Linked DNA regions of Danio rerio. The protein of the gene in region 1 interacts with the protein of each later gene in a biochemical or structural test. Links are inferred from orthologs where the notes say so. Each region holds a gene or a part of one and is shown in the gene's direction. Other genes may lie near its edges.

Region 1 (4,158 bases):
AGCCGCAACCCATCACTGTAAAACATCCATACACACTCAATCACACACATAAAATACGGACAATTTAGCTTACCCAATTCACCTGTACTAGAGGTTTATGGACTTGTGGGGTAAACCGGAGTGACCGGAGGAAACCCATGCCAACACGAGGAGAACATGCAAACTCCACACAGAAATGCTAACTGACCCAGCCGAGGCTCAAACCAGCAACCTTCTTGTTGTGAGGCGATTGTGCTACCCACTGCGCCACCGTGCTGCCCTTTGCTTTAATACTTTATATTTTAATACAATCTCTACACTATAAATTATTTGTTTTCTTAAAATAAATTCACAATTTAAAACAATAAATCAACTATTTAATTTTTAAAACTAAATTTTTTGTTACCTGAATAAACTGCTCTGATTAGGGGCGGGGGACAATTTTGCATGCAATAATGACGTTAAAATTTGTTAGACCTTCACCAACATATGATAGTAAACTATGTTACATAATTTGTAGGTATAATTTATGCTTCCATACATTTATCGGGGGCTCCCAGATTCTCTGGGGGATTAAGTGACTGTTTACCTTATTTATTGGTTAAATCCCGCCCCTGCCTTTGGCCCCTAGACACCTCACACTCCAGTTCACATATTGTCATCATATATTATATAATTTAGTATTTTTATTATGCAGTACCACTACTAAACTACGCCAGAGAACCATAATACGGGATACTTTTGACAGTTTTTAAGTGGCGAAAATACATTTCAATGACATGATTCCTAAAGTTAATGGCACTGAGCCTATCCTGTTACAACCAACATAAACTGAATTTAAACACTGGCAGACTCACGGCAGCATCTTTTCCTTGTTCTCTTTTTCTGTTTACTGGCATCACTCTCTGGACACACGTGTAGTCTTCACTGTGAACAACAAGGAAGCAGCACAGCGGAAGCGGCTTCCTTTCGTCTATGACAAAAGCTTTTACAATTAAACCTTACAAGTCTAAGCAAAATACGTTCATTCAAACATATAAACATGTGTACTTTACATGCCGAGTGTCGGTACTTGTACCGTAGGATTGTTCCAAAGACAATTAAAGGGATTTTTATTGTACACAGCATCACATTACTTTTAACAAGTAGTTGTTATTTACTTTTTTAGTTTGATATAAAAATAAGATTTTATAAATACTGACTAAATGTATTATTTTAAAATGGTTAATGCACAACATATTTTGGTAAAGCGTTTTGAATTGTATATAGACTTTTCAGCAACATCCTGGACGTCATTTCCGCTAAACGTTAGCGTGATGCTGAACTAGGAAACTTGCTCTGATCTAAACAGGAGGAAAATTAAAGGTTTGAACTGTATTTTATCTCATTCAGTTTTCATGTTGTTTATTTTGCTAAACGTGTGAATGTAACGTTAACAGCATTTCTCAAAATACCGAATCATCGCGTTAATCTTACATTAAACTCTCCAGATACATGAAACTGGTGAGTAGTCATCTGTACTCTCACATTGCTTTGTATTATTTTCGTTGAGCGTATTTATTTCATACTTTTTGCGTGTAACTGAAGTACAAATTTAAGACAACATAAACTTATCTTCGTTTCTAAAGTAATTAACCCTTAGACATCGTTCTTAAATGAGCTCCTTTTATTTACGTGTTTAAACTCCATGTTAACCTGAATGACTGCTGTTAACACGGTAAAAAAAATTCTGATTGATATGTTTTCCATAATGGTTTCTGCATGGTGCATCTTAGACCTTTAACTAATCTTTCTGACATTTCTAACCTTACAAAGATTTCAGTGACAAATTGAACATTGCTGTTTTGACTTCAGCTGATATTCCTTTAAATGGCACCTATTTTACCCCTTAATCAAGATTTAAGATAAGTCTTTTGTGTCTCCAGAATGGGTCTGTAAAGTTTCAGCTCAAAACACCTCTCAGATTATTTATTATACCTTTAGAAGTTTGGAATTTTCTGCTTTGAACACAATGTAGCTGTTTTTGTGGCCTGCGCCCTTAATGCCAATTCACCCTGCCCACCGTTCCCTCGTGCCTGTCGGAGTGTGCCTCAATCTCTGCCTCGGCTGCGACAGATAAACAGCACAGTGACAAAAAGATCTCCCGTAAAGTTTGTGAGAAATACTTCAGTAAGAAATCTCCCAATGATTATTTGATGTATTTGTTGTGGAGTTAATTCAAGCCTTTCTATGATGAGTCGCACACAATGTTGTTAGAAAGTTTACACAGACACACACACACACAGGGATGGGACGATAAACAGTTGTGAATAGTAAAAGTTTTAAAACCGTAATGTTTTCAGTTATACAGTTTCTAAGGTATGTGTATGTTTTTTTGTTTTTTTTTCACGATTACTTTAGTTAGTTTTTTTAGGGCAACAGAATCTCCAGCAAAAAAGGAACCTCTACACTAAAAGCTACTGGTCTAATATATATATATATATATATATATATATATATATATATATATATATATATATATATATATAAAATAAATCTATTGTGTTCAATAGGGGCAAAAGTTGTTGTGTCCCAGACATTTAAAAATAATTTATTTTGGAGGAATAATTACAATATCGTGAAACAGTGATATTTTTTCCAAGGTTATAAAATCAGAATCTTATTCCGGCCCATGCCTACACACACAGTGCGCGCATTTAACTTTGCACTGTTTTTGCACGTAAATGTGACAGGAGGATACACATTAATATCCCCTGCTTTATGGACATCCATTATGTTAATGTACAAAATAAACCTGATTTAACATCCACAAACGGATTGAAAGGTCTTCTTTTTTTAATTGTACTGACCTGGGGCTGTGGTTATAAAGACGGTAAAATCGCTTGCGTGTAGTCTTCTTGTTGATATCTTGTTGATATGATTTTACTCGTTACTGCGATGACATGTTAATATGAGGCTGTCAATCAGTTCAGTGGGCAGGAAAACTGCGCTCCTACATCACAGTGCAGTGGGTCTTAAAATGGGATGGATTTGGATGCTATTTCAACATCAGGAAATAGAAAAAGAGACCTATTGTCTTTATATCACTCCAATATGACTGTGGACACACTTTACTTACAGTTGTGTCCAAACAGCTCACAAAAGATGATTTTTATGATAGGTGCCCTTTAAGGTAAAATTATCTAGTTATTTAAAAAAAAAGATTGTAGAAATACTATTGAAAATGACCTAGGGCTGGGTGATATGGCAAAAATGCAATCTTAATAATTATTTTCCATATTGAATGATAACGATATATATATTTCAATAGAAGTTGCTAATGCTTTCAAATTTAAAAGAGAGGTTTACCCCCAACAATGACTGAAGCCACAAAAATTAAAAGCTTTATTAAACCATTAACAGGCCTAACATATGCCAAAGCAATGGCAAAATATCTCTAATAACCACACACTTTTACATTCCCATTGTTTACATTTCTGCTGTGTGATTGGCTCTTAGATCAATTAAAGTAAAAACGTCCAGAGCTCATCATTGTTATTGACAAATTTTATTGCGATTTGATATGATATTGTTTATCAGCCCAGCCCTAGAATGACTCTTGAAAGCATCAGTTATTAACAAACAACCGAATTATGATGTTGTTTATTAAATGAGGGATTTAAGGCGCTATATTACAGTTTGACAGTTAAAAGTATTCCTATATATATATATATATATATATATATATATATATATATATATATATATATACACACACACACAAAATGATTTTATAAGTTAAGTTAAATAAGTTTCATTGTTGTTTTCATTGTCATATTTTTGATGTAGGTGAGTGCTGTAAAGGTGTCAGAAAGTTTAACCTGGTCCCATAAAATCAATGTGCTGTGTTTTTAATATAAAATAAACACCCCAGGGGTTGCAAAAATAAATCAATCCATCAATCAAATCAAAAGGTTGATGGCTTTTTATTTTCATGTTGGTTTTGTAAATGTAAGTATTAACTACTAATCTTTTCTTCTGTATGTCATGGATAAAATATGGTAAGCAGGTGATTTTTCAGAAATTTTCTGTTTTTTTACTTTTCACAGACCTTCCTCCAAGAAACCTAAAGTTCAACTCTTCACTGTCTTGCATAAAAGACAAACTGACCCTTTATGACAGCACATTCTTGGTCCTGAA
Region 2 (4,071 bases), on another chromosome or scaffold:
TTTTAGTGAGCATTAAGAATTTTATGCAAGGATTCAGCTTCATTTAAAGACAACTGGCAATCTCTAGAGATATTGTTGTCAATAAATAAATGTAAAAAAAATCTAATGTTGTCTAGGTTTTTGATTGTCAGGTAGCTAAATGGTCCTTGAAATTTTAGAAAGTAGTAAATTGTTTGTCTAAACGTTCTGCAGCTGTCTGGTAGTCAATACCACTGCATTCTTATCACAGCACATCATTACGCCATATTACACTGTATTGTACGGTTATAATTGTGTTATTGTCAAAATGCAACTTTATATATAAACAATACAACAAATTTCATCTCTCTATATAAAAGCGTATAACTAGGCTACAATTAACCATTACACTTTCCAACTATTTGTGTTTTGAATTTTTCTTATTAGATTAATCTAAATTAATTTGCCAGTGGGCTTTTGCATAGCTGAAATTGTTTGGTGAGTGTATCAGTTCTGCATATTCTCTAGTGAGTTTATAACTCACTTTCTGATAAATTAACTTAGCGTTCTTATTCAGCGTAATCTAATGAAAAAAAAAAAAAAATATATATATATATATATATATATATATATATATATATATATATATATATATATATATATATATATATATGTGTGTGTGTGTGTGTGTGTGTGTGTGTGTGTGTGTGTGTGTGTGTGTGTGTATTTATGAACAGGACATTTAATAATCTGGGAGAGTAGACTTCAAATGTATTGTTTGGCCATGTATCTTCCATCCCCCCTACTGGACGCATTAGGAACAACAGCGGCGTAAAACTGTGGCGTGTAAAATTGCCTGAGCCGTAAAACTGCCTAGATCCAAGTCTGCAGATGTCCCATATAGGGGTCTGCAGCTTCCCCTTACTCGCCGCTTCACCCAACCCAACAGCAGGGGCACTGTCTGGTCTGTCTGTGCGCGCTAGTCTGAGCGTGCAGTTGGGTCTCCGGGCCTGCAGCTTCCCCTTACTCCACTCGGGCGAGGCGGTGTGGTGAGAAATCGAGTCCCCCTGCAATCGATTCCGAGGCAGTCTATGTCATGAAAGATGCATAAAAATGAACCTATATACACTGCTTCTTCTGCATTAAATATTTGCTGAATAATTTGTAAAACGTTCATTTATAACTATTCTTTTATAAAGTGTGTTTAAAACATGACGCTAATATGAGCTTGTAAAAATATACGTGCGATAACGTCACATTTGTTTTAGGACCTTTCAGCAGATTCAAAATGGCGAATTTTCGGAAAAATGGTTCGGAACTAAATGGGCTGTGCAAAGTATTAACAAACCAAACAAACAAATAAAAACACAAAATTCGTATTATATAATACAGAGGATTTACCCGTTTTGTTTTATTGTTTTCAAAGCGGCAGCTTTAAATAGACATAGCTGCAACCTCCTTTTGAAGGTAAGAAAGACATGCTGTTCACTTTTGCTTTTGTGCACGTTTATTACAGAGAAGCATGATCCAGTCGTACATTAATAGCCTTTCGACACACACACACACACACACACACACACACACACACACACACACACATATATATATATATATATATATATATATATATATATATATATATATATATATATAAACAACGCAGGTTTATGTAGCGGTAACGCACAGACAACGTAGTTTATTTACTTCTTTACTTCTGAGTATTTGATCAGTAACGTTAATTACATGGTCTCAAATAAGCAATGCAAACTCATATTGATTCTAGTAGAAATACTAAACTATTTTATAATTTAGAGTTTGAGAATTTATAACAGGGCAACGCTGTGGCGCAGTAGCAAGAAGGTCGATGGTTCGAGCCTTGGCTGGTTAAGTTGGCATTTCTGTGTGTAGTTTGCATGTTCTCCCCGTGTTCGCATGGATTTCCTCCGGGTGCTCCGGTTTCCCCCACAAATCAGGTGAAATGGGTAAAGTAAAATTTTCTGTAGTGTATGTGTTTGAATGATAGTGTGGGTGTTTCCCAGTGATGGGTTGTTGCCTGAAAGGGCATCAGCTGCGTAAAACATGTGCTGAATAAATTCGTGGTTTAATCCGCTGTGGCGACCCCTTAATAATAAAGGGACTAAGCCGAAAAGAAAGTAAATAAATGACTGATCTTATAATACATAGTAATAATTGGACATTTTATAGAGTTATTATAGTACTTTTACGATTCCTAGTAGGATGCAAAGCTGTTCTCTGTTAAGAAGTGTAGCGTTACGCAAGTTTGGGAAGTTTTTCTTTTTTTTTTTTTTTTTTACAAAATACATGCTTTAAATAGTTATCAATATTATACATTTTTATTTAGCAACTTACTCGAAATACTTAAGAATATGCATATTTTAAGCTAATTAATACAAATAAATAGGATTCCATGCAGTTTTATGCTGCATTCCAAGCTTTAAAACGAATCCAAATACACAGACACAACTATTCTAAAAATAGCCAAAACAACCATCATAATTCTTCAAGTTATAAAAAATAATTGGGTAATTTCTACAGAAACATCTATTTTTAGCATGGCAATTCAGACAAGATGTTTAAACATTTATTTCTTTTTTAACATTTAAACTTAGACCACATTATTCAATTTCTTTTTACAGAAGGATATCCAGGACAATTTTTAATATGTGGATGCATAAATTTTGACCCAATCCAAATGTAATAGCAAGTTGCACATTTGCAATTGCATTTCCACTTTTGTGAACGCGCAGTGACTGCCACATTTCAAATAAAAAAAGAAAAGTCCATTTGAAAAATGCATTTCCCATGTCTTACGAGCTATGGGCCTGACATATCTGAACAGCTATATTAATTGCTTCACTTTCTTTTTTATTAAGCTAGAAACAAGAAAAAAAATGACAACATAAAATATTTGCTTTATCACAAACTGTAGTAGCATTATTGGTAATAAATATTGAGGCAACAGAGGCAACGTATATAAGCTAGCTTGAAAAATTGTTTATTAAATATAGATTGTATAATTTGAAAACATGCAGTAAAATCATAATGGTTTTACTTTGCAAAATTATGCTACATACAGTACATGTAAATCACACTACAAGATGGCTAGTAGATGGAGCTTACAGATCAGTAATAATCCCATCATTATGAAATTTGCTGAATCACAAGTATATTGAATTAAGCCCATTTATACATAACGTTTAGATGTTTGATAACTGCAAATAATGTCAGCATATATTTTGCTAATATTTTCAGATCTCTTAAAACAAACTACAAAAAATCGTTGAAACATTATTAGGCTACTATGAAACTTAAACCCGATTATTAATTAATTAATTCATTCATTCATTCATTCATTCATTCATTTATTCATAGTCTTTTCGGCTTAATCCGGGGTTGCCACAGCAGAATGAACTGCCAACTTATCCAGCACAATTTTACGCAGCGGATGCCTTTTAGGCTGTAACCCATCTCTGGGTAAAGCCTGGTTTAAACTTCTGCGTTAAGTGACCGGCGTGACCCACGGCGCATGCAACGGGTGTAGCTGTGCATTTATACTTCTACGCGCTGTCTCTTTTGATCTGAATTAACACTTCCGAAACGCTAGTTGGCAGTAAGGTGTTTATGTTCCTCTGTGTTGAAATTCTTCTCTGCTGTTTTGCTTTTCCTGAACACTTCCTGGATGTACAAGTGGCTTAAACTTGCTCATTTTGAGGCATCTTTTGTGCAGTCTGGGATTTGAGAAAGAGATGCGCGGGCTTTAAAGTGTCACGAAACACCAAAACACGTATTTTGAGCTGTTGACAGTCGTATATGTGTCCCACACTGCTAAAAACACTATTAGGACACCTATATTTCACCAAAAAGTGTAAATTGGTTGTTTTTGCGTTATTTTAAGCAAATTCGTACTTCCGGTTTGAAACGAATTTTTGAAGCTGCGTCACGGTCATGACATAATAGCGTTGTATTCCAGCGTGCAGACTGGGCGTCTGTGCCAGAGTGTGTCTTGTTACGTCTTACAGTGTGATGCATTAATGCATGAGTAAAGCTTGGTTCAAACCAATCAGCGCGCTCTATTGTGGAACTTTATTAATA

What was found.
Region 2: the proteins of gtf2e1 (region 1) and taf6 form a complex in vitro, tested with the Homo sapiens proteins (2 studies listed by BioGRID). The link is inferred for Danio rerio from reciprocal best matches to the Homo sapiens genes GTF2E1 and TAF6.

The regions. Positions count from the first base shown.
Region 1 is NC_133184.1:29,390,229-29,394,386, reverse strand, and holds the start of gtf2e1 (general transcription factor IIE subunit 1), read left to right. Parts: upstream 1-1,349; 5' UTR 1,350-1,482; intron 1,483-4,067; 5' UTR 4,068-4,158.
Region 2 is NC_133180.1:58,922,945-58,927,015, forward strand, and holds the start of taf6 (transcription initiation factor TFIID subunit 6), read left to right. Parts: upstream 1-1,251; 5' UTR 1,252-1,425; intron 1,426-4,071. UniProt on the Homo sapiens protein: The TFIID basal transcription factor complex plays a major role in the initiation of RNA polymerase II (Pol II)-dependent transcription.